Linked DNA regions of Cricetulus griseus. The protein of the gene in region 4 interacts with the protein of the main gene of each other region in a pairwise test. Links are inferred from orthologs where the notes say so. Each region holds a gene or a part of one and is shown on either strand. Other genes may lie near its edges. The genes, in order: Otx1, Faslg, Hoxa1, Rgs20, Glrx3 and Ptpmt1.

What was found.
Region 1: the proteins of Rgs20 (region 4) and Otx1 interact in binary tests that used the Homo sapiens proteins (3 or more experiments, as listed by UniProt). The two-hybrid records come from large-scale screens. The link is inferred for Cricetulus griseus from reciprocal best matches to the Homo sapiens genes RGS20 and OTX1.
Region 2: the proteins of Rgs20 (region 4) and Faslg interact in binary tests that used the Homo sapiens proteins (3 or more experiments, as listed by UniProt). The two-hybrid records come from large-scale screens. The link is inferred for Cricetulus griseus from reciprocal best matches to the Homo sapiens genes RGS20 and FASLG.
Region 3: the proteins of Rgs20 (region 4) and Hoxa1 interact in binary tests that used the Homo sapiens proteins (3 or more experiments, as listed by UniProt). The two-hybrid records come from large-scale screens. The link is inferred for Cricetulus griseus from reciprocal best matches to the Homo sapiens genes RGS20 and HOXA1.
Region 5: the proteins of Rgs20 (region 4) and Glrx3 interact in binary tests that used the Homo sapiens proteins (3 or more experiments, as listed by UniProt). The link is inferred for Cricetulus griseus from reciprocal best matches to the Homo sapiens genes RGS20 and GLRX3.
Region 6: the proteins of Rgs20 (region 4) and Ptpmt1 interact in binary tests that used the Homo sapiens proteins (3 or more experiments, as listed by UniProt). The two-hybrid records come from large-scale screens. The link is inferred for Cricetulus griseus from reciprocal best matches to the Homo sapiens genes RGS20 and PTPMT1.

What each region holds. Positions count from the first base shown.
Region 1 is NW_023276807.1:84,695,354-84,699,395, reverse strand, and holds the start of Otx1 (homeobox protein OTX1), read right to left. Parts: upstream 2,801-4,042; coding exon 2,704-2,800; intron 1,861-2,703; coding exon 1,709-1,860; intron 357-1,708; coding exon 1-356. UniProt on the Homo sapiens protein: Probably plays a role in the development of the brain and the sense organs. Can bind to the BCD target sequence (BTS): 5'-TCTAATCCC-3'.
Region 2 is NC_048598.1:30,345,254-30,348,295, reverse strand, and holds the end of Faslg (tumor necrosis factor ligand superfamily member 6), read right to left. Parts: intron 1,430-3,042; coding exon 1,035-1,429; 3' UTR 501-1,034; downstream 1-500. UniProt on the Homo sapiens protein: Cytokine that binds to TNFRSF6/FAS, a receptor that transduces the apoptotic signal into cells. Involved in cytotoxic T-cell-mediated apoptosis, natural killer cell-mediated apoptosis and in T-cell development.
Region 3 is NC_048601.1:89,186,605-89,190,785, forward strand, and holds Hoxa1 (homeobox protein Hox-A1), read left to right. Parts: upstream 1-1,381; 5' UTR 1,382-1,495; coding exon 1,496-2,144; intron 2,145-2,673; coding exon 2,674-3,029; 3' UTR 3,030-4,129; downstream 4,130-4,181. UniProt on the Homo sapiens protein: Sequence-specific transcription factor. Regulates multiple developmental processes including brainstem, inner and outer ear, abducens nerve and cardiovascular development and morphogenesis as well as cognition and behavior.
Region 4 is NC_048595.1:158,247,441-158,250,940, reverse strand, and holds part of Rgs20 (regulator of G-protein signaling 20), read left to right. Parts: intron 1-1,898; coding exon 1,899-2,272; intron 2,273-3,500. UniProt on the Homo sapiens protein: Inhibits signal transduction by increasing the GTPase activity of G protein alpha subunits thereby driving them into their inactive GDP-bound form.
Region 5 is NC_048596.1:63,474,010-63,477,509, forward strand, and holds part of Glrx3 (glutaredoxin-3), read right to left. Parts: intron 1,881-3,500; coding exon 1,708-1,880; intron 1,527-1,707; coding exon 1,465-1,526; intron 1-1,464. UniProt on the Homo sapiens protein: Together with BOLA2, acts as a cytosolic iron-sulfur (Fe-S) cluster assembly factor that facilitates [2Fe-2S] cluster insertion into a subset of cytosolic proteins.
Region 6 is NC_048599.1:85,841,095-85,845,215, reverse strand, and holds the start of Ptpmt1 (phosphatidylglycerophosphatase and protein-tyrosine phosphatase 1), read right to left. Parts: upstream 2,801-4,121; 5' UTR 2,731-2,800; coding exon 2,383-2,730; intron 2,291-2,382; coding exon 2,210-2,290; intron 1-2,209. UniProt on the Homo sapiens protein: Lipid phosphatase which dephosphorylates phosphatidylglycerophosphate (PGP) to phosphatidylglycerol (PG).

The DNA.
Region 1 (4,042 bases), on a different chromosome or scaffold from region 4:
TTGCTCGGTGCGCCCAGTGGCTCTGGCACGGACACGGATGGCGGTGCTGAGCCTGGCGAGATGGAGGCCGGGCTCCAGATGGACGAAGCAGTAGGCGTACTCAGAGAGGACGCGGCTGCCACCGGGTTCCCACCCAGGCCCGCGGCCGCAGCAGCCGCGGGATTGGCGGAGGCACTGGACGCTGAGCTAGACGAAGAGGCCGAGCTAGACACGGCAGGCGGCGTGAACTGGCCGCTACTCTCCGAGCCCGAGCTCTCGCGCACTGGAGACGACTTCTTCTTGACCGGCCGGCTTTTCGTTCCGTTCCCGCTCTGCTGCTGCTGGCGGCACTTGGCACGGCGGTTCTTGAACCAAACCTGCAGTGAGCAGGGTGAAGGAGAAGGGATCAGGGGGCTGGCTAGTGGAGCTCACAGCTCCTCCGCCCCTCGGACTCACACCCCGCCCAGGATCTCAGGGACCTCTCAATCCCAGCCTCTACCCCTCCCAGTCTCTGGCCCTGCCAGACCCTGTCCCCTCCCCCGCACGTGCTAGGTCCCCAGCTCTGGCTCCCTCCCCCATCCTTCTGCGCAAAGCCCCCAGTCAGCCTCCACCGCAGGAGGGATGCGCACCTCCCCAAGCCCAGCGCAACTCTGCCCAAGGGCGGAACGTTTGCGTCTGTCCAGCCAGAAGTTCAGCCATCTCTAAGCTGTTGCAGTTGGCTGCTTCCCCGCAGCCCCGTTTTAGTTTGGAGGCCCTGTTTTCCAAGAACAGAGCTCAGGAAACAGCGGAGAGTACAGAACATCGGAGAGTAGGGCAGTCACCAAGTCTGGGGCCCGAGGGGTTTCACCGAGTCGGCTCCTGGAGACTGGAGTTGGGCAGGGCAAATATTTGGGTGGGAACAGAAGCAAGGCTGGAGGCTGAACTGAACGGAAGCAGTACTCCAGTACTGGGATTCTCGTGAAGGAAGCCTGGGTGAGGTTTCCTTGGGCCTTTTGGCTCCAGGTGGGGTACCAAATGGAACGATAAGTCATAAATTCGCACTCCTTTTGGAGGGGCCCGGACACGGGGCATTGCATTCCCAGTCCCTTCTCGAGCCTTCAGGGAAAGAAGTTGAGACAAAAGACTCTCGAGGAAGAGTTTTAGACTAACTCAGAACTCCTATTTTCTGAACTGTTTCATTTTAGAAACAGTAAACCCAGCATCTGGATTTTGCACTCGGCCTCCACTCGGCTGGAGAAAACTCCAAACCATACCGACTCCACCCTCAGAGCACACTCCAAGGCAGATTGCGCTAGGCTGTGACCAAGTTCCATCTTGCACTTTTAGAATCCCCAGGACTCAAGGGAAGGGTAAGAAAGACAAGAGCGGAAGGAGAGCTAAGGCTCAGTAGGAAAACGCCAAATTCTGTTGTAGCCAGGAAGCAGGGGCCATTATCTAACCTTCTGGGAAAGTTACACCCGGGGGACACGGCTGGCCTTTCCAAAATCCAAAAACCGACTTTCAACAATGAAAGCGCCCTGGGGACAAGGGCTAGAGAGATGTTGGGCTCTAAGCCATTACTTTTTAAAATGTTACCCCCCTTTAGCTGACTGAAGCCCAGCACTAGGGGGAGTTAGAGAGGGGCTGTCCAGTCAGTGAATGGGCCCCAACACCAGATGGCCCAGGTCGGATCTTCCCCGACCGCTCCTAGCGCCCCTACCCTAATCCTAGAGTCCCAAAGACCACGCACCTGGACTCTGGACTCTGGCAGGTTGATCTTGAGCGCCACCTCCTCTCGCATGAAGATGTCCGGGTAGCGAGTCTTTGCGAAAAGGGCCTCCAACACGTCCAGCTGTGAACGCGTGAAGGTGGTGCGTTCCCGTCGCTGCTTCCGCGGGGTGGCTGTGGGGACATACAAGGGCACCTGGAGTCAGCAGTGGACCTCGAGGACTGGAGCTAGAGGCCACACGCAGGTCTTCTGGTAGGTCCAGAACCCTGCCATGGAAAGGAAAGGCCGACCTCCGCGCAAAAGCAAACTTCCCTGCCCACAGGTGGGGCAAAGTGTATAAATTGGGCTAGAGGCTCCTGTCTGAAAGAAACATCAGGGCCTCAGCCCTCCTTGTCTCTCAGATAAAAAACAAAGCCATCCCCTCCTCATCTCCCTAAGCCCACTTCTGGCTGAAAGGTAGGAAGTAGAACAGAGGTAGGTAGAAACAGGACCTGGGAAAGCTTTCCAAGTGAATAAATTCAAGCAAAGAAGTAGGATCCAGAAAATAAATTCGGGGTTCAGTTGGAGTCGTCTGCCACCACGGAAGAGCTGGGTCAGGTCCCTGGTCTCTAGGGCACTCTGACTAGGGAGAAAGAGCTCTGCTTCTCAAGGCAGCTAGACATAAGGGAAGTTTGGCTGTTTACATTAGGGCCTATCGAGTCCAGATTCCTCGTGAAATGTTTGGGCGGGCAAGATTTTATTTTTTTAAAAAAGCAACCGGTGGGAAATACGTCGGTGGACAAACATGCTTTCTCTAGCATGTGAGACCACAACAGGAGCAGGCACCACAAGCTCAAAAGTTGTAGGTCACAGTTTCTAAACTCAAACCGGAGAGCCTGTAGCAGATCTGGGCAACAGACACAGAGATAATCATATCCCTGGGCCTGTTTGGGGACTGTGTGGGCTCAAACGTTAAAAGCTGGAATCCCCCAATATTTGCACAGGCTTGGGGGTAGGGACATAGGGCCACCGCTCACCAGGATAGCCCACAGAGGGGTGTAGGAGGTCCATGGCAGGGCCAGCTAGGCCCAGCCCGTTCATGCCGTATGGGGGTTGTTTGAGGTAAGACATCATGCTAACTGCCGGGTGGAGGCGCCCCGACGGATCCAGGGGGCCTGGGGCCAGGAGCAGTTCAGGGCTCCCACTTCGAAGTCCTTCAAGCTGTTGCTTCTGGGGGCCTGGCCTAAGGAGACAGGAGACACATGGAAACCGTCACCCGCAGTCACTTTGGCTTTCAGTTCCTATAATCCTAGAATGGGGAGGGGGGCAGGCTAGGAACTTAACAGGGCAGGCAACCCAAGAAATTTCTCCTCCAAGCTCAGCAAGCCGGCTTCTTAGAAAAGTAAACTTTCCCCACATCGTTCCTTCCTCTTTTAGGGCTTGACAAGGGCCAAAGACACTCCTTGAGTGTCAACAGGAAAGAAAACTTAAAAGCGCGATCAGGCCGAGGAGGTGAGAGCCGGGACCGGGGAGGGTGCAAAATCCCAAGTGTAGTCTTTTTTTTTTAGTGCTGCGGAAGCAATTTGCTCAAGCAAATGTTCACTTGGCGCCGGGATGGCAGGCCGTACAGAGCGTACGTACCGGGTTATTTTGTTTAAGTTTCAAATGTTTTTGAAAGAGGGACAAAACCGCTGGCACTACAGAGGTCCAAGGTTAGTACCCCTTGGATCGCCCAGGCAACTGCCCATTTTGGTCACATCATTCCTTCAGAGATCTCCAGAGCAGCCCCCTCCCCCAGAGTCCCAATCACCATTCTATCTGACCTCTCTGGGCCCCTGACGCTAGGAGATGGGTGAACCGGAATTTCAACGCACTTCTAGGGTAGATGTGGCCCAGGCCCGGGTGAGGCGGCGAGAAGATGCCAAAGGCGCCACAGTAGAAGTGGCAGTTTCAAGAAGCCGCCCAAGGTCAGGGGTGCCTCAAAGACGGTCACCCGTCCTCCTAAGCCCACGCAGGCCCGACCTTCTTTCTACCAAGTCCGAGAGAGCACACCGAGTCCCACCAGGGTCTGATAAAGGATGACCAGCCCAGCGGCTCAAAGCATGCTGGGGAGTTCAGAAGCCAGAGCACCCTGGATCGCGTGGGCTCCTCGCCGTCCTCTCCTGAACTCGGTGGAGAGCAGAGAACTAGGCCTCAAGTCGGAAAGCTCCCGCACACCCAAGCTGGGAGCGCTAGGCTCGGCCGAAGACACTGCGAGCCCCTGGCGCTCTTCTCCAGCGGAAGAAGGGGTTCTGGGGGGGTAGGGCTGGGACCCGAGAGGGGGGCTTCTAGCTACACCCGGCTTTACAGGGAGCCCAGGGTGGGAACTCAGGGAAA
Region 2 (3,042 bases), on a different chromosome or scaffold from region 4:
TGTAAATCTTTCTCAGAATGCTCCAAAGCCATTATGAATGAAGAAACCATGGAGAAAAGAAACAATAAGCACATCTCGCTGATTTCCAAACACTATATCCTTAATACTTTTCTATATTCTGCAATACAATTTTTATTTGTCTTTTTTCACTAAGATTCACAAAATATATATATATATATATACTAGTTCTATTAAAGGAAAACAGCATAAGTAGCTGGTAATAAAAAAATTTTGAAGACTATTAGAGTTTATTGCCAAGAAACATTCAGATATCCACCACCAAATGTAACACATATGTTTCTAATATGTACTTTGTAATGCACACATTCTATTTATATGACTCTCTAGAATCTGTCTGTCTGCTCTCTCATACATACAAACACACACAGACACCATTGCACTGGAGACACACATGCCATTGCACTGGAGACACACATGCCATTGCACTGGAGATACACATGCTGTGTAAGGAATGATCTGTGCTTCAAACATCCCTCTTAGTTCTCTGTTAGCATCAAAGGTTGGCTCAGAAAACACCCGTTAAAAGTAAAGATGATGCCAATGAGACATTGGCCTCTTTCAGTCTCTAGCTTATCAGTCAAACCTGGCCCCCTTTTCCCATGCCTTGTATATTCAGATCATAACCATGTGTCTGAAAGATGGCCTCCTCTGAGGTAGCAAGTAGACCCACCCTGAAAGGTGAGTTTAAAAGTGTCCTCTTCAATGGCTAAAATGCTCTTGGCCATTTTTAGCATCAGACAGTTCCTTCTCTGTGCCTCTGCATCATCACATGGCAGCCCAAAGCTTTATGTTCCTTGGCCACAGTTCTCCTTCCATCTAGCTCACGATGGAGGCATTAAGGACCACTCTGGGAAATGAAGGAAAGTTGACCTGTTGAACCTTGTGATCATGAGGTCTTTGTGGCTCATTTTGTCTTGATTAATCTCAATTGGTCTTAAAAAGACACTCATTCAAGACAATATTCCCAGTACCCATAAAACGGAATAATGGATAATTCTAAAGTGCTTTTTCTGTTAAAGCTTATATAAGCCAAAAAATGTCTTAGATTCGTCAAAATTAATCAGAGAGAGTTGAGAGATGTTGACGTATAAATGGTCAGCACTGGTAAGATTGAATACTGCCCCCAGATAGCTGCTGTGGGCCCACATCTGGCCAGGAGTGCAGTAGTTCAACTTCTTCTCCTCCATTAACACCAGATCCCCAAGATACTTAGAGTTCCTCATGTAGACCTTGTGACTTAAGGGCTGATTGGTGCAAGAATGACCCCGGAAGTATACTTTGGAATATACAAAGTACAAGCCAGGGACATTGATCACAAGGCCACCTTTCTTATACTTCACTCCAGAGATCAGAGCAGTTCCATATGTGTCTTCCCACTCCAGAAGGACAGACCTTGAGCTGGGGTTGCCTGAAATAAACCAGAGAAGAACTTTCAGCCAGAAGGTCTCCCACATCTGATGGGCTAAGATTCCAAGGGAAAACTCTGGGCCCTTCCTTAACAAAAGCTCTATCCAGAAGGACAGCCAATCAGGGGTCAAAGCATGGTCCACCCCAGAGTTTCTTCAACACCTTTGTCAAATTGTCCACCCTAATTTAATCATCCATGTGATTGGGACAAATTTAGTGTGTGTCTCTGATTGATCTCAGGGAAGACTATTAGGATAATTTCAGTTCTCTGGAACAAACATTTTATGATCTAAACTAGTACCAACACCGCTGAGCTTGGGCATCCCTCCATAAAGAGAATGATCTCCAGAGTTCTACATCTGGACAAAATCTCATGGTTATGTGGTCCACTTCCTTGTTTAGTTTGGATTCCTTGGCCTCTTATTTTGGGCTAATCCCCTTCCATTTTGTTCACACAGCATTATGTACCTACACACAGCAAGTACTCAATAAGTGTTTGTGGACCCAGATGAATTTTTCTACAGCCTCCAAGTGATGACAGGAGGTATGGTACACCTCTTCTTGTGATATATAACTACATTTTTAATGTTTATATTTCTAATGGAGTTGCCCATGCCATATTATACTAAAACACTTATTTACTTTATAATCATAGGCTGAAAACCCACAAATGCCAGAACAATCTCTTCTTATTCAAAACAGTGCATCACTCACCCTTGGCTGCTCCTCTTGGACTTATGTCACAAGTCCCCTTGTGGATTTTGGCATGGTTGAAAAGAGTGCACTTTTTGTTTTATAAATAATCTCTCTTGGTTTATCTAATGGACAGAGGGCTTCCTTAAGAGTTGGGATAACTGTTCTTTGTTTCTGCCACAGGACTGTCAGCCTAGTAGACTCCCTTCCTTCCCTTTGCAATTCCTCATGCTGTGGTTACATCAAATATAACACATATGTCACATGTGCCCTTACATTTTCCCATGTGTACTTTAGCCCTTGAGGCCAGCTAGAATGACAGACCATAGCAGCTGAGCCTCACCCCATTGAGAGGCAAGGGAAAACTTAGGCAGATTCCATTAATAGCCCTGTGCCTGTGACTGTCACATCCCTCCCAGGAAGCACCAGCAATGCCCACTTCTGAGGTGTGACAAATACACACCACCTTTGCCAGTGTTGATGTCACACTCCCTTCAATCAAGGCAGCCATCTCCTCCTCTCAGGAAATGATGGCTGGGGCTCCTGTGCCAACCTGACATGTCCTTAACAGAGGTCACCAAGAGGTCGAGGCAAGGGGGAAATCAGAATTCTTCACACTTCAAACAGGAATTATGACCACTCTACCCTGAAGCCACCCTCTCCAGCTGGCCATTATCTACAGGAGAGACGTGCACTTAGTCAGAGTTTGTAAGCTCCAGAGCCAAAGGACAATATCCTCAGGGTCCAATTTATCTAGCCCAGACAGGTGTTTGCACATGTGTGTGTGCTCGTGCTCACGCTCTTGCAAAACCTGCATGGTTAAAAATGATCATTTCCCATCTTAAAGGAAATACAACAGGAAGTTTCTATCCTCTGTCAACAGTTTTATGCACATCCTCGTTACTGTCTATGCTTTGAAAT
Region 3 (4,181 bases), on a different chromosome or scaffold from region 4:
GGGGTGAGGTTGATGGAAAACAGGACCCCTGTCCTGGGATGATGCTCACATTTGCACGTGTCTCTCTGGGGAGTGACCTGAAGGTTCACACAAGCAACTACACAGTCCGTTGGAAAGTATACAATCCACTCAGCCATCTGTCCACTGCCCCTCCCACCTGCCAGTCCCTCCCCACCCCCCAGACATGCAATAGGGGGCGGTGGCAAGAGGAGGTTTTCCCACTCCTAACAAGCAAGCCCCTTATGAAAGAGAGAAATGTGACGCGGGAGGTCAGCATACTTTGTAAGAACTGTGCGATCCGTCCTTCTGTCCCGTCCCTCCGTCCCTCTGAGGCCTACGCTGGAGCGAGCAAGCTCCTGGGTCTCTAAGAGCAGACAGAAGGCCTGCAGCTCAGGCTCGGCCCTCATGCCGGCCACGTCTGCTAGCGTCATCTTTCTCATCTGCCTTCCACCCTCAAACTCCAGCAGCAGAGTTGCTCCGGATCCTGAGGGACTACCAAGAGCAAAGCTGACTGACTGGGAAGGAGAAAGGGGAAGAGATCCAGAGAAGAGGGAGGGCAGAGAAGAGAGCAGACACCCGGACTTTCCCAGAGAGCTGGGTTCCTAGGGCTCCCCCGCCCCCCTGGGGTCGAATTACAGAAGCTCCCATAGCCACGCTATTGGCCCGTAGGAGTCAGGGCAGAGGGCTCTGAGACCCTCCGGATGAGGACAGTAGCTTCTTTTCTTTCTCTGGTCCCCATCACACCCACCCTGATTCCTCCCAGACAATCCTTTGCGCACGTCCCCCTACATTCCGAGGCGGGTGAGGCAGTGACGCAGCCTTGCCCTAGGCGCCTGGGTTCCAGGCTCAAGTCTCTGCAGGGACTGGGTGGTGGCGGCCATCCCGAGCTGAGGGGATGATGTGTGCTGGATTCCTACCCTTCCCACCCTGTTTGCTCCCGGCTCCGCCAGGGTCCTTGAGACCATGCAGAGAGCTCTGGCCTACCGAGGCCCGCCTCAAGAGAGCCGAGAGGCCTCGTCCCCTCTCACCTCTTGTCAGTTCAGCTTTCTAGGCTGGGTGGGGAAAGGGCCGCGGAGGGTCGCCTCCCATCCCCCACATCCTGGAGGCGGAGGCGAGCAGAGTCGGGCGCGCGCAGAAGTCAATCTCTACTCCCCTTGGCCCCAGTGCTCCAAGTCAGCTCTGGCAGCGGCCGGAGCAGCCGCCGCGGCCCGGGCAGCCTGGGGGGGCGACCGCGCGTCACCTAGACTGAGGAGCGCCGGGGATTTAAATGCCACTGAAACGGTGATCCATCACCGCCGCAGCCGGTAAACTTTCGCAGGCGGCTCAGCCATTGGTTGACAAAGTCACGTGTCCTTCCCCTTGAGTCCTCCGCCTTCCCGCCCCGCCTCTTGCGCACTGTACATTCATATCATTTTTCTTCTCTGGTCCCATGGAGGAAGTGAGAAAGTTGGCACGGTCACCCAGGGCTTCGCAGGACCCAGTCACTCAGTGACAGATGGACAATGCAAGAATGAGCTCCTTCCTGGAATATCCCATCCTTGGCAGTGGCGACTCCGGGACCTGCTCTGCGCGAGCCTACACCTCTGACCATGGGATTACAACTTTCCAATCCTGCGCGGTCAGTGCCAACAGCTGCGGCGGCGACGACCGCTTCCTAGTGGGCAGGGGGGTGCAGATCAGCTCGCCCCACCACCACCACCATCACCACCCCCAGCCGTCTACTTACCAGACTTCTGGGAGTCTGGGGGTTTCCTACTCCCACTCGAGTTGTGGTCCAAGCTATGGCGCGCAGAACTTCAGTGCGCCTTATGGCCCCTATGGATTAAATCAGGAAGCAGACGTAAGTGGTGGGTACTCCCCGTGCGCTCCCGCTGTTTACTCTGGAAACCTCTCATCTCCCATGGTCCAGCATCACCACCACCACCACCACCAGGGTTATGCTGGGGGCACGGTGGGCTCGCCTCAGTATATCCACCACTCTTATGGACAAGAGCACCAGAGCCTGGCCCTGGCCACGTATAATAACTCCTTATCCCCTCTCCACGCCAGCCACCAAGAAGCCTGTCGCTCCCCTGCTTCAGAGACGCCTTCTCCAGCGCAGACCTTTGACTGGATGAAAGTCAAAAGAAACCCTCCCAAAACAGGTGAGTCCTGCCGGCTGGCAAACAAATGTTGCTTGATTTTGAAAGGGGCCGGTGCGCTTAGTTTCCTAGGAAAGTTAATGATTTTAAAAGATGGGTTCTTGCTTCTGTCTAGTGTCTTCTGGAGTTATAGTGTGTGGTGTAGGATGCCCAGGTGTGTTGGGGCAAAGCAGTTTCTGGACCTGGCATTTTCAAAGGGGCTGATGCTTCAGTGGTCTAGAAGTAGGAAGCGTGTGTGTGTGTGTGTGTGTGTGTGTGTGTGTGTGTGTGTGTGTGTGTGTGTGTGGTGTGGTGTGGGTGGGAGGTGTCGGTGGTGGTGGAGTTTTGTTAATATCTACAGGCTCCATTAATCAGAAGCCTGACCACGCTAATGGTTGACTTCAGGTTAACACTTTACATACACATCGTTTGTCACTAGAGCTTCCCAGCTGGGTTTGTGCTGAGCAGTTAACCGAATGTTGCCCCGAACATTGGGCAATCGGATAAGGGTTAAAGAATTTTTACCTTTTCCTCTCTTCCTCCGTTACCCCAGGGAAAGTTGGAGAGTATGGCTATGTGGGTCAACCCAACGCAGTGCGCACCAACTTCACCACCAAGCAGCTCACGGAGCTGGAGAAGGAGTTCCACTTCAACAAGTACCTGACACGAGCGCGCAGGGTGGAGATAGCCGCGTCCCTGCAGCTCAACGAGACCCAGGTGAAGATCTGGTTCCAGAATCGCCGCATGAAGCAGAAGAAGCGTGAGAAGGAGGGGCTCCTGCCCATTTCTCCAGCCACTCCTCCTGGAAGCGACGAGAAAGCTGAAGAATCTTCTGAGAAATCCAGCTCCTCGCCCTGCGTTCCTTCTCCAGCATCATCTACCTCAGACACCCTGCCTACCTCCCATTGAGGCCACTCCAGCCCAGCTCCGTAGTCCAGGCTTCTCCCTGGGCTAGGGTTTCTTACCCAAAGCACATCTCTAGCTTATCTTTCTTCCTTTACAGTCTCTCTTTTTCTTTCTGGTCCAATCCAGAGAGCTCCTGGGCAACATAATGTAGTTCCATAGAATTCTGGAGACTTGGTTGTAAATTAAATCCTTAATCCACATCGGGTGCCCATATCAATTTCTGGTGGCCCCCAAAATTCCTTCCTCACTGTTGTGAGAGTTTTTTTTACACAACCCATGGTTCCTTTCAGATGTCCCTTGGAGGACAGTACCCTTTGCCAGCAGGCATTTGAAGAAGGGAGGCATCTCACCTTTTATCTGTATATTGTTCTTCTCTACCTGGCTCTTAAGTAGGACACACAAAAAAGAGAGTATCCAAAGGCTCATGAAGAAGAGATTGACTGAGTGTGTTTACACAATTAATTCACCCCTTAACTTTCTCTTGAGAGATTTATCTTTATACAGATTTTCTAGAAACATGCAGAACTATATCAAACAGGGTGGGCAAACTTCCAAAACTGGTGATTATGGGTGGACAAAAAAGGGGGGACCCTGGCATTCAAACAGAACCAGATTCCTCAAAAGGTAGCCTCAATTTGCTCTTGCAGAGTCAAGAAGGCCTGAGAAGCCCAAAGTTCAGAACCTTTGCTGTGCCAAGACTTCCCAAATTACCGATTTCTTCTTGCTTCTCTGGCCACCCTCCACTTAAAAAGTGTGCTGGATTATTTGTAACCTAAAGGTACTCTTTTCAGTCACCCTTTCTTTCCACAGTTATCTTGGCTGGATACAATGTATTTTCAGCTAATTGTTAATGTGATGGCACAATGAATGTATATTTTGTGTGATTCGTGAATAGTCTTCTGCATGTCGCACAATGTTTTGATGTCCCTGAAGTACCACACTGAGTTCTATCAGTTATCTTTTGTGAGCCTACGATAGTCCCCCTTTCCTGTACAATCATGAACAGCTCTGAGATCCCAGAGGGATGTGATCCAGAGCAGAGTTTACGGGTCTTAAGACGTCTGTAATAAAAAATATTCAAGTTTTGGGTATGCTTAAGCATCTGTGTATTTGGCTGGGCTACAGTTTGTGTCTTACTACAAAGTAAGGGGAAGG
Region 4 (3,500 bases):
CTGAGCCCAGCTGTCCCTGGCGCTCTCCCCACCAGAGCCCCAACACACTGTCACTTTTATTCGTTGCTTCCTGCCTCCACTTTCATTTTTCTTGGCAACTACTACTCTTTTTTTTTTTTCACAGACAGATTGAAATGTTTTTGTGTTTTGCTTGAGGGAAGTGTTTGGATTGGCAGTTAGGTCGGTTTGTAACTACACTAAATATTAGTGCCCAAAAAGCTAAGAAGGACTTAAAAATGGAAGCCTAAAGCAAGTGGCCTTCAAACAACACCAAGGCACAGGGTGGCACTCAATTGTAATCCTCATACCTAGGAAACTGAGGTCAGAGAATGGAGTTTAAGACTGGCCTGAGCTACTCAGCAAGGCCTTGTCTCAACACACACACACACACACACACACACACACACACACACACACACACACACACACACACACACACACACACACACACTTTTTTAAAGCAATAAAACTTTTCTAGAAATAATTATTTTTGGCAATCCTGCTGTAAATCTTCTCTTTCTGTCCCTCCTCCTTCCCCTCATCTTCCCCTCCTCCTTCCCCTCCCCTTCCCCCTCCTCCTTCCCCTCCCCCTCCTTTTGTTTGAAACAGATTCTCAGATTCTCTAGCACCTTGAGTTGACCTCAAATTCATTAAGTCAAGGATGGCAGATGATGGTATCCCCACCTGCCTTCCCACCTCCCCAGTGCTGGGATTACTGACATATGGGCAGTTTTGCTGTGCTGAACCCAGGGCTAGGTAAGCATGCTAGGAAAGGAACCAAATGAGCTTCATTCCCAGGCTTAGCTGAGCTACTGTGCAGCCTCACACTCCTAAGGCAAGAAGCATTAAAGTTTAAAGATTCTTTAAAACAAACTAAGGTCTCTCTGTACTTTCTACATAGCCCTGGCTGTCCTGGAACTCACTCTGTAGACCAGTCTGGCCTTGAACTCACAAAGATCTGCCTGCCCAAGTGCTGGGATTAGAGTCATGTGCCACCACTCCCAGCTAAAGGTTCTTTTAAAAGACTAACTTCATTCTTTCATCTTACAAAAGTAGATAAACTCTAAAGTTACAGTTCCATTCCCACAGTTGGGGGTTGTTAGTAGGAAGGCTATTTCTAGGACCCTGTGCTCCTGACTGCTACACTAAATATGCCCAAGAATGCTATTTTTTTAACTCCTCCTCTCACACACAAAAAGCATGTTTTCTTTCAACCCTCTTAATGCCTAAGTATCCTAGGAAGACACAGAAATTGTAAGAACTCTGAGAATAAGTTTTACAAATGGAGTACAGAAAAGAGGCCTGCAGTAGGAATGCTTACAAAACCGAACTCTGGTCTCCTCCTCTCCACTGAACGCTAAGGCCAAGTTGGCTAGCAACTTTCTCCCAAAGCCTAAGGCGGGTCTAGCATTCTTCAATCAGCTGCATCTACCATCCAGGTCTCACTTAATAGCAACCCCAGTAGGACCCGGTAACCAAGTGTATCACTGTCTCGGGTAGGTAGTGGTTTATTGGAAAAGGACACATCGAGAAGGATTCCGATGAAGAAAGGGGAAGAATTGCAAAAATTATCTGTGAACATAAACCTTCTTACACAGGCACGCCACGTTTAGCGTCATACAGATTCCACAGGGTTGTAACGAGCAGATTCTGATGAACTAGGCTGGGGTAGGGACTCAAGTTTTGCATAGCTATAGAGCCTCTGAGTATTGGGTATTGGCAACTGCTGCTGGTCCAAGGGCCACAGCGTTGAACAGCATCATTTTAAAGAAGGGGAGAAGTGAAGGGAGACTCTGACCTCGCGGTTTTGTTTTGCTTTTCACCGACCTTCTCCTGTACCCTCAAAGTAAATTCTCAAAATGCTTCATCAAGCGGTCTCAAGTAGGTGACTGGACAAGATCCTAACGTGTTGTTTCTCTCTTTCGCCCACACTCTTCGCGCCGTTCGCCCTGCACAGCTCCCAGACTCTCCCGCCGTGTGGACGCTGCTCCACCACCTTTCTAGCCTGCTCTGCAGCTTCACGCGATTCTTCTCGGGTCTTTTGCGGCGTCCCCCTCCTGCGGCTCGCCCGCGACGCTGGGACTTCTTCCCTCAGCTTCCTGCCTGGCCTGCCTCCAGGCTCTCTCCAGAGCCCCGCCGCCTCCTGCTCCTACTCGCTGCCTCAATGGCACTGCCAGGCCGACCTCCGAGGAGTCGTCATCTGAAACTGACAAGTCCAAACCCAGAGTCCAGAGAAGAGGACCCCTGCTCTGGGAGGAGTTCGCCGGAGTGCGTGAGTACTGGGGACGCCTCTAAACCCATCCTTGGCCTCCCGCAGCCCCAGGCTTTCCCACCCGTTCTAACCCGACTGACTCAACCCAGTCCGCACAACGCTGAACACACTGGGCTCCCTGACACTCCCACATCCGCGGAAGCAGTAGAAGCTACTTTCTCCCAAGCCATTCATTCCCTGTATACAGTTCCTAGGAGCGGGAGAAAGCCCTCTGACGCCTCCGAGGATCTTTTCCAACTGTGGTTGCAGCTCCTTCCCCCAGCCTCGCTCACAGAGCATCCCAGCGCTTCGCCACCGCCGGTGGTTGAGTTGGCGCTCCCACTCCTCTGCCCTCTCTGTAGGAGAGGGAGGAAATGACGTGGTGTTATTTTTGTGTCAGGTCACTTTGCTGCTTTAATTTAGCCCTCGGAGCTCAGGCGTACTGCCCCAGGGGCCCACTCCAAGGCTTACTCCGAGAGCCGCGGGGACCCGGGAGCTGGGAGTCTTCATTGCTAGGAGTCAGGTGGCGCGGCCGCAAGGGGCTTTTCCCATCGCCTCTGAGTCCTAAGGGAACAGGGGTTGCCGAGGGACTGCGTGAGACCCGAGTCCAGGCTTAGGTTGTCCTGCCATCCCAGTCGCCAGGTGGGGCCATCCGATTCTGGCTTACCCGAACCAGGTGAGACCACCGTCTAGAGCGAGAACAGTACCAAACGAGTTGGGAGCAGAGGTCGGTAGCTCTCGGGGTAGCGGGAACAGCGGCGTCTGCAGGAATTGTCCTGCAGAGGCGGCAGTTCACAGGCACGACCCAGGGTACAGAGTATCCGCTCCTCTCACGACACCTCCTTTCATCCCTGCGCTGGTCCCCTAGCTCACTTCATTCATGAGGTCCCAGCACTCATTCACTCACTCTGAATAGACCCGCGCAGGCTAAGGCCAGAGAATAAAAAGAGAGGGATTTGCAGGAACCCTCAAAGCTCGTTCCGCGTCTCACCCACTCATTCGGTGCTACTGGAAGAGAAGAGCCTAGGTGGGGGCTCCTCTTGCGAGCTTTGGGACTAAGGAGTGCCCCCAGCCTCCGAGTGCTGCGCGCCGCCGCCAGTAGGAGGCGAGCCTAGGGAATGCCCAGCCCTGGGAAAGCGAGCGTGGAGGCGGAGAGGAGTCAGAAAAGGGAAAGGAGGAGGAAGAAAGGAAGGCTCGGGAGCTTAGACCCAGACACGCAGCAAAGGGCGGGAGGCAGGGAGCCAGCGCG
Region 5 (3,500 bases), on a different chromosome or scaffold from region 4:
AGAGCAGGGTTGCTGGCTACAAAGGTAAGAAGGCGAACCTTAGCCCTCCAACCACCACTAACTGGTGATAATCACAGTTCTCATTTTAACTTGATACTTCATATTGTATATGCCATGCTCTAACTTGCTATCAGGAATGTTAATCACCCAAATTTGGAACAAAGTTTATTCACAAATCTTTAGGGAAAATCAATACAAGGACAATGGGTAACATCACTTTCTCTTCATTCCTCTCATGTTGTAGAAGCACTATGGGTCCAAATTTCCTTGTAGAATAAAACTGATGCCAGTCTAGTGAACAGATCACATAGGCCATGACATTTACACTTCCAGACCTAGTCTAGCCCACTCAGCAAATGATCTAACCACCTACATTCATGCACCACAGGTAACTTTACTAGACTACACGTCATTTTGCTAGATAGGAGCCCTTCAAATTACTCCCCCAAATATACCAAACACTGCTTTCTCTACAGCTCTAGCCAGTATCTGTGCATACCTAAAGCACAGGAGAGCTAGAAATAGCACTTCAGGAAAGAAGATCTGATGAAGACAAGGCAACAACAGGCCAGAGAGGAAAGCACAGTGCCCAGCCAATCCAGAATATGAAATGCAGAGCCACTGTGGGAACAGCACAGCCTCAGAGGGCAAGGACAACATGGGCCACAATAAAGATCAAAGAAGGATCTCATCACAAGGAAAGGGTATAGACCACTGGCACTGAGCCAGTATGACATACATGGAATTCTATTCCTAAGAGTACTTGAATTAAGTACAGATGATTTTTCTTATTAAACATTTGTTGAAATTTTCAAAATGTGAAATAGCAAGTAAATTACAAACTCAAGCTCCAACTAAAAGTTGATGGGCTAATGCATGTAAAGATAATTCCTTTTAATTATTAATATGAAAAGTGTGAATTAATAAATTCATATTCATTACAACAGTCCTTTTCAAAAGTCCATATCAAAATACAACACTTCCACAAGACTTCTGAAGCAGACTGTGATCCCTCATTAAAAAGAAGGATGGCTTCACAGCTCTGGAGTCTGCCTGAGTTTTGTTACTGTGACTTAAAAAAGCCACTCAAAACCTGAGCTTTTCCCATTCAACTCTTACCACACTCAAGGACAGAACACAGCACTTCAGCTGCACACAAAAACACAAGAGTGCTATGCTCACATGAAAAAGCAGGAACCAAATAAGGCCCTAGGCCCACTAAAAGTGATATTTCTGCAACAGCAAATATACCCTCCATAGTCACTAAGCTGAGCTAAAACATCTCCAGTCCAAATCAGAGCATCCCAAGTTTTCAAGACTAAGTGCTGAGGAACCACCAAGTTATAATCCCAACAGGCAAACACCCAAATGTTTGGTGTCTACTCCGAAAGAACAATGCAGTAACAGGATTTATAGACTATTAAGATACTCAGGTCACACTGCGGCCAGCTTCCTGGTACTTACCTTTCCTCTAACTTGGGAGCTTTGGGACAAATTGTATCTAGCTCTTCTGATGCTTCCAGCTCCTGAAAGAAGGACATTATTACAGCATAAACCATCTCGAACACCCCCAATATGGAATACTGACAAATGACTATCAGAAATACTGTGTTCACCTTAGGTGCAATAAGAAATACATGGTTTCAATTTATTATAACACATTAGAAATGTATGCTCTAAACAAAATGTCTTCATAAAGAATCTAACCTTAATTATGTCAAGTCCTCCTATGAGCTCTCCAGAAACATAAAGCTGAGGATAGGTAGGCCAATTAGAGTATGTTTTGAGCCCCTGTCGAACTTCCTCATCTGAGAAGATATCAAAACTGCTGAACTGAATATTGTGTTTGTGAAGGATTTCCACCATCTGCTTGCTGAAACCTGCAACAGAACAAGGAAATAAGAGAATTCAGCATCTCTCACAATGTCACATGGTATCCAGGAGACAGAAATGCCCACCCCGCCTGCAGTGATTGAATCAGAATAACTGCATAGTATAAAAGAACAAAATGCTAAGCCCCTCATTTGACCTAGAGCCTCACACAGCAAGATTTTAACATATATGTTAACACAACTGCAGTGTTATATTAACACTGAGTGGGGTAAGTGTTTATCAAAGCTGCTCTTTAACTGGAGACACAGCACTGGTCTAAGAGCAGAACCCTGACAGCCTGGCAAGTCTCCACCCTGACATGGAACAAAGCCCTCTATAGCTGCCTCCCTCTCCATCAAGGAACTGACCAGGACACCTAGGACAGCTATTTTAACCACTGCTTGACCACAGTGAGACCCAAGTACAGTCCTTACTTCCACTCTAGTGAGCCCATACACACTTCTGCAGCTGTTTCTCATCTTCACATCTGAGCAGGATGAATGGGAATCAGAAGTGCTCTCTTTGGGTCTAAGTGATCACAGTACAGTAAATGTTAAAATCATCTTTGTTGTTACATATGAACTGTCTATAGACTGACAGCATTCCTTCTCAGCTTATGCTATAACCTGATAGATGCTTTCCTAAAGTTCCACATTCCCTACAGTGTGTAGCATGATTTTTTTCTACACTATAGTGACAAATTTATGTCCCAAGAGTGTATTAGACTTTGGTGAAGTGTTCACAATGAAGGGGTGTAAGCATGAGTGTGAAGAAAGGGTGGGTGTGAGCATCCTATCAGTCCAGGCTGAAAAAAGGTTACTTTTCTTTCCAGATGCTAATTCTTACCAATTACATCTCCAAGTCTAAAGCACCTTCCTCTTTCTCATTTCACCATTCTTTGAAACATAGTCTTCAATTCACTGGATCACAACCTATTCTTCCAATTAAAAATTCCTCTAGGATTTCCTCCTATCAGCAATTATTTTCAAATGAAATCAAATCATAAAATCCAGCATAAGATTAACTGCAATGGTTTTACCTGACGTCACCCAAAAGTGAATTTATTATTAAAAACATGGATCTACAGCTGAGTCCCAGTCACTTCCTGGCTCTGCCGTTTGTTGAGATGAAGCACTAGGGTGAGCGTGCAGCACATAAGCTGCATTTCCTACAACTCAAGTGTGGTGCTCATGCACAGCCTGAAGTCAAACACTGTTTCTGAATGTTTTCACTCATCTGGGAGTTCATTAGTAAACAGCTAACGGCTGACTGCTGATGGTTATTCTGCTCCCAATATATTAGCTCGTTTCTACTGTAACTGGCTGAAAAAAGGCTTTATTTTGGCTTTAGGCAATTACATGCAGACTAGAAAGATTGATTGGTAGGGTTTCATTTTTAAGGGTTAAAGTGGCAGATTGGAAATGTTATGCTTAAGGATAAAGTAGTAATAAGGCTTTATTCTAATAACAAAATATTTATACACTCCTGAAGAAAAATGAATGCATGCAATAGAAGCACTTAAAAGTTTAAAAAAAAAAATCTCATTTACCACAAAATCACCATTTCTATCTGCAGTCATTTCCACTCATGACATGAGTGATAAGCCTAACTGCCACATTTAATAACTA
Region 6 (4,121 bases), on a different chromosome or scaffold from region 4:
AAACCAGGCCCCCTGAACATGGGTGACAATTAAGAGGCCTGGGCAGTCTAGCAGTGGGGCCTCTAGCAGTGGAACCAGTATTTATTCCTAGTGGACGAATGGACTTTGGGAGTCCATTCCCCATGGAGAGATACTCTCTCATCTTAGAACCACAGGGGAGGGCCTAGACCCTGCCCCAAATGATGTGACAGACTTTGAAGATCCCCCATGAAAGGCCTCACTCTCTCTGAGGAGTGGATGGGGGTTGGTAGAGGGTATGGGAGGATGGGAGGGAGAGGGAACTGGAATTGATATGTAAAATAAGATTGTTTTTAATTTAAATTAAAAAAACAGCAAATGACAGTGCCTCACAATGAGAGACCAAGCTTTGTCTGTGTAGCTTCAGTCACCCCTCGATTTATACAACTGACCACATTATGTCCTTAGACTAACAAAAACAACTGACCACATTAGTGAATATTAACTCTGAGACCTTGTGACAGTACTTGGGGAAATTCAAGGAAGAGTGACATACTCTTTTGTTCCCCTTTTTTCTTTTTTCAGAAAGGGCCTCATATAGCCTTGGTTAGTCTTGAACTCATATCTTGCTTCTGCCTCTGGTGCTGGGATTATAGGTCCTGCACCACTACCACACCTGGTTTTTATTCTGAACTGGGCTTCCTATATACTAGGCAAGCATTTTATCAACTGAAACAAATCCCCAGCCTGCTCTGCAGTGCAGTTTTTCTTTCTTTTCTTTTTCAAGACAGGGTTTCTTTGCATAGCCCTGGCTGTCCTGTAACTCACTATGTAGACCATAATGGTTTCGAACTCAGGTATTCACCTGACTTGGCACCCCAAACGCTGGGATTAAAGGTGCGCCACTATGCCCAATCCTGGAAGGGGTGTGCTTTTCTTTTTTCTTTTTTCCTCTCTTTTTGGTTTTTCGAGACAGGGTTTCTCTGTGGCTTTGGAGGCTGTCCTGGAACTCACTCTTGTAGACCAGGCTGGCCTCGAAATCACATAGATCCACCTGCCTCTACCTCCCGAGTGTTGGGATTAAAGGCATGCGCCACCAACGCCCAGTGGGGGTGTGCTTTTCTTATCTGTGTGACTTTGCTTTTAGATGTAACCTCATGTAGCCCAGGTTGCCCTCAAGTTTTTGATACTCCCAGCCGCACACACAGAGTGCTAATATTACAGGTATGAGCCACATCCCCTCTTTTTTTTTTTTTTTTTTTTTTTGGTTTTTCGAGACAGGGTTTCTCTGTGTAGCTTTGGAGCCTATCCTGGAACTCAGAGATCCGCCTGCCTGTGCCTCCCGAGTGCTGGGATTAAAGGCGTGGGCCACCAACGCCTGGCCCCCTCCTTATATTTATTTTTTCTGTTTTTTCGAGACAGGGTTTCTCGGTGTAGCCCTGGATGCCCAGGAACTCTGTAGACCAGGCTGGCCTCAAACTCAGAGATCCTCTTGCCTCAGCCTCCAGAGGGTTTCAGCTAAGCCACACCCCCTCTTAAAAGGAGGTGCTTTTCTTAGAGTTGGCCTTCATCTCCAAAGCTAACTAACACATTGCCAATTGGTGCTCAAATAAGTGTTGAATGAGAATGAATAAAAATCGACAAGGCATGTAAGTCACAATTTTAGTTACCAAAATCACAAATACAAGACGGGTGTATTAGCACATGCCTATAATCTCAGTACTTGGAAAGTGGAGGGAACCTAATCAGATCAAGTTAATTATTGACTTTAGACCCTGTCTCAAAAATAAACAACAAATGCAAAGTAACATATACGTTTACAATTTTGTGCATAAAGCACTGCACCCCTGGTCCCGATTTTGAAGGGCTTGCTTGTGCCCTGTCTGGTGCAGAACTCCATGTTGGCCTGGAACTTCCAGCAATCCTTTCTCTTGCCTGTGCTAGCTGGAATTCCAGCAGTGAGCCACCCAACTGGATTAGCTCACTCTCTTTTTCAAACAGTGCCCAAGGCACTTTTGAACTCAGGGACTCTAAAGATTCTGCCTCAGCCACCTGAGTCGCCAGAGCTCCAGGCTCGCAGACTTCCTTCTGGCTTATCAACTTTTCACCTGCAGCCATTTACCTTGACGGGCATACTCAGGGCACGAGAAGGCAACTAGGTCTCTGACACTTGTCCGGGAGAGACAGGCACCCGGCAGCGTCTCTCACAGGCCCGAATACTGGCCCAGGCTGGCGGGCCCTCGGTCCTCACCTTCGCGGTGTTGCACAGGAATCTTGTCTCGTACTCTTCGTTCATGGTGATCACCCCGCGCACATTCTCGTCCAGTACCAGCTGCCGAAGCAAAGAGAGGGCTCAGCGAGGGCCGTGGGGCGCCCACCGAGGCCCGGGGCCCGCTCCCGGCCGGGCCCGGCAGCCTCTCTCACCCGGCGCGTCATGCTCCGCAGCGGCAGCGCGCCCAGCAGCACGGTGGAGTCGATGCGGTGGTACCAGTCGCGGTGCGCCCAGCCTCTCACACTGCCGCGGAACACGGTGTAGAGCAGCGTCGGGTAGAAGAGCACCCGGGCCAGGCCGGCCTCCAGCCACGCGGACGCCGCCATCCCGCCCCACCCCGCCAGGCGCAGCGGCGAGCCGCCGGCCCCCGGGCTCGCGGCCAGCCACCGCGAGAAGGACGCGGAAGGCGAGAGCTGCGGACTGTTCGGCCCCTCCCGACTCTCGGAAGCTGGGTCCCCGCGGTCCCCGCCGGGCCTCTGGGCTCCCGGGACTGGCACCATGCCTCCGAAAGAGAGGCGCCGCGGCGGAGGCTGGAGGGCTGGGGGGCGGGGGGAGGGCGCTGGAACGGCAACGAGAAACGAAACTGTGACCCTGCCTAGGGAGGAGGGCCCTCTCTCCAACCCCTGACCTGGGGCGTGACCCCGGGTGCATCCATCACCTGGGAGAAGGATGAGCCGAGAGGCTCCTCTAAACCCAGGGAGGCCCTGGAGGATCCAGCACTGGGGTGAGCGGGAGTGGACAGAGAACCTGCGTGATGGCCTACAATCCAGTCTTTCCATTTCTTTCTTCTGTTTTGAGACCATGTCACACTATATAGCCCTAAATACCTCGTACTGGCTATGTAGACCAGGCTGGCCCAAAACACAACAAAGAGACACTCCCGCCCCTGCCTTCCAAGTGCTGGGATTAATGGCATAGCCACCACTCTTGCAATCTGCCTGCTTCTTAACATTAAGTCCTACTCCCTAATCCCAAACCCGCCCTGACCAAGTTAGAATATACATAGTATGAAAAGTATATATTAATAGTAAGAAAAGTAATTTTCTTCATAGCACTGTTGTTTTTATTTTTTCTCTATTATATGCCTTTCACTAGAAGAGAAATATTACAGTCTATCATAGTGACACATGCTTTTTTTTATAATTTAACTTTATTTTATGTGCAGTGGTATGATGGTGTGAGATCCCCTGGAACTGTAGATACAGACAGTTTCAAGCTGCCATGTGGGTGCTGGGAATTGAACCCAGGTCTCTGGAAGAGCAGCTAAGGCTCTTAACCGCTAAGCCATCTCTCCAGTCCCGTGACACATGCTTTTAATCCTAGCACTTGGGTGGCAGAGACAGGTGGACCTCTGTGGGAGTTCAAGCCTGTCCTGGTCTACATAGTGAGTTACAGGACAGCCAGAACTACAGAGTAAAACCCTGTCTTGAAAAAACCCACACACAAAAAGAAAAAATATATAACTCTAACAAGCCAGGCACGTACATGCCTATAGTCCCAGATACTCAGGAAGCTGAGGCAAGAGGATCCCTTGAGTTCAAAACAATCAGCCATGGAGCCACAAAGATGGACTCAGTGGTTAGAGCTTGCTGCTCTTCCAGAGGATCTGGGTTTGAGTCCCAGTACTTATATGGTGGCTCTCAACTCCAGTTCCAGGGGACCCAAGGCTCTCTTCTGGCCTCCACGGGCAGTAGGCTCACAAGTTACCCATGTGTATAAAATGAAAATAATAAATAAATAAATCCAGTCTGCACAACATAGTGAGACTTACTCCCTTGAAAAGAGAATACCCACTTTTTTCTATTATTTCTTTTCATTTTATATGCATTGCTATTTTTGCCTGCTTGTGTGTCTATGTGAAGGTGTTGGAACTCCCAGAGCTGCAATTACA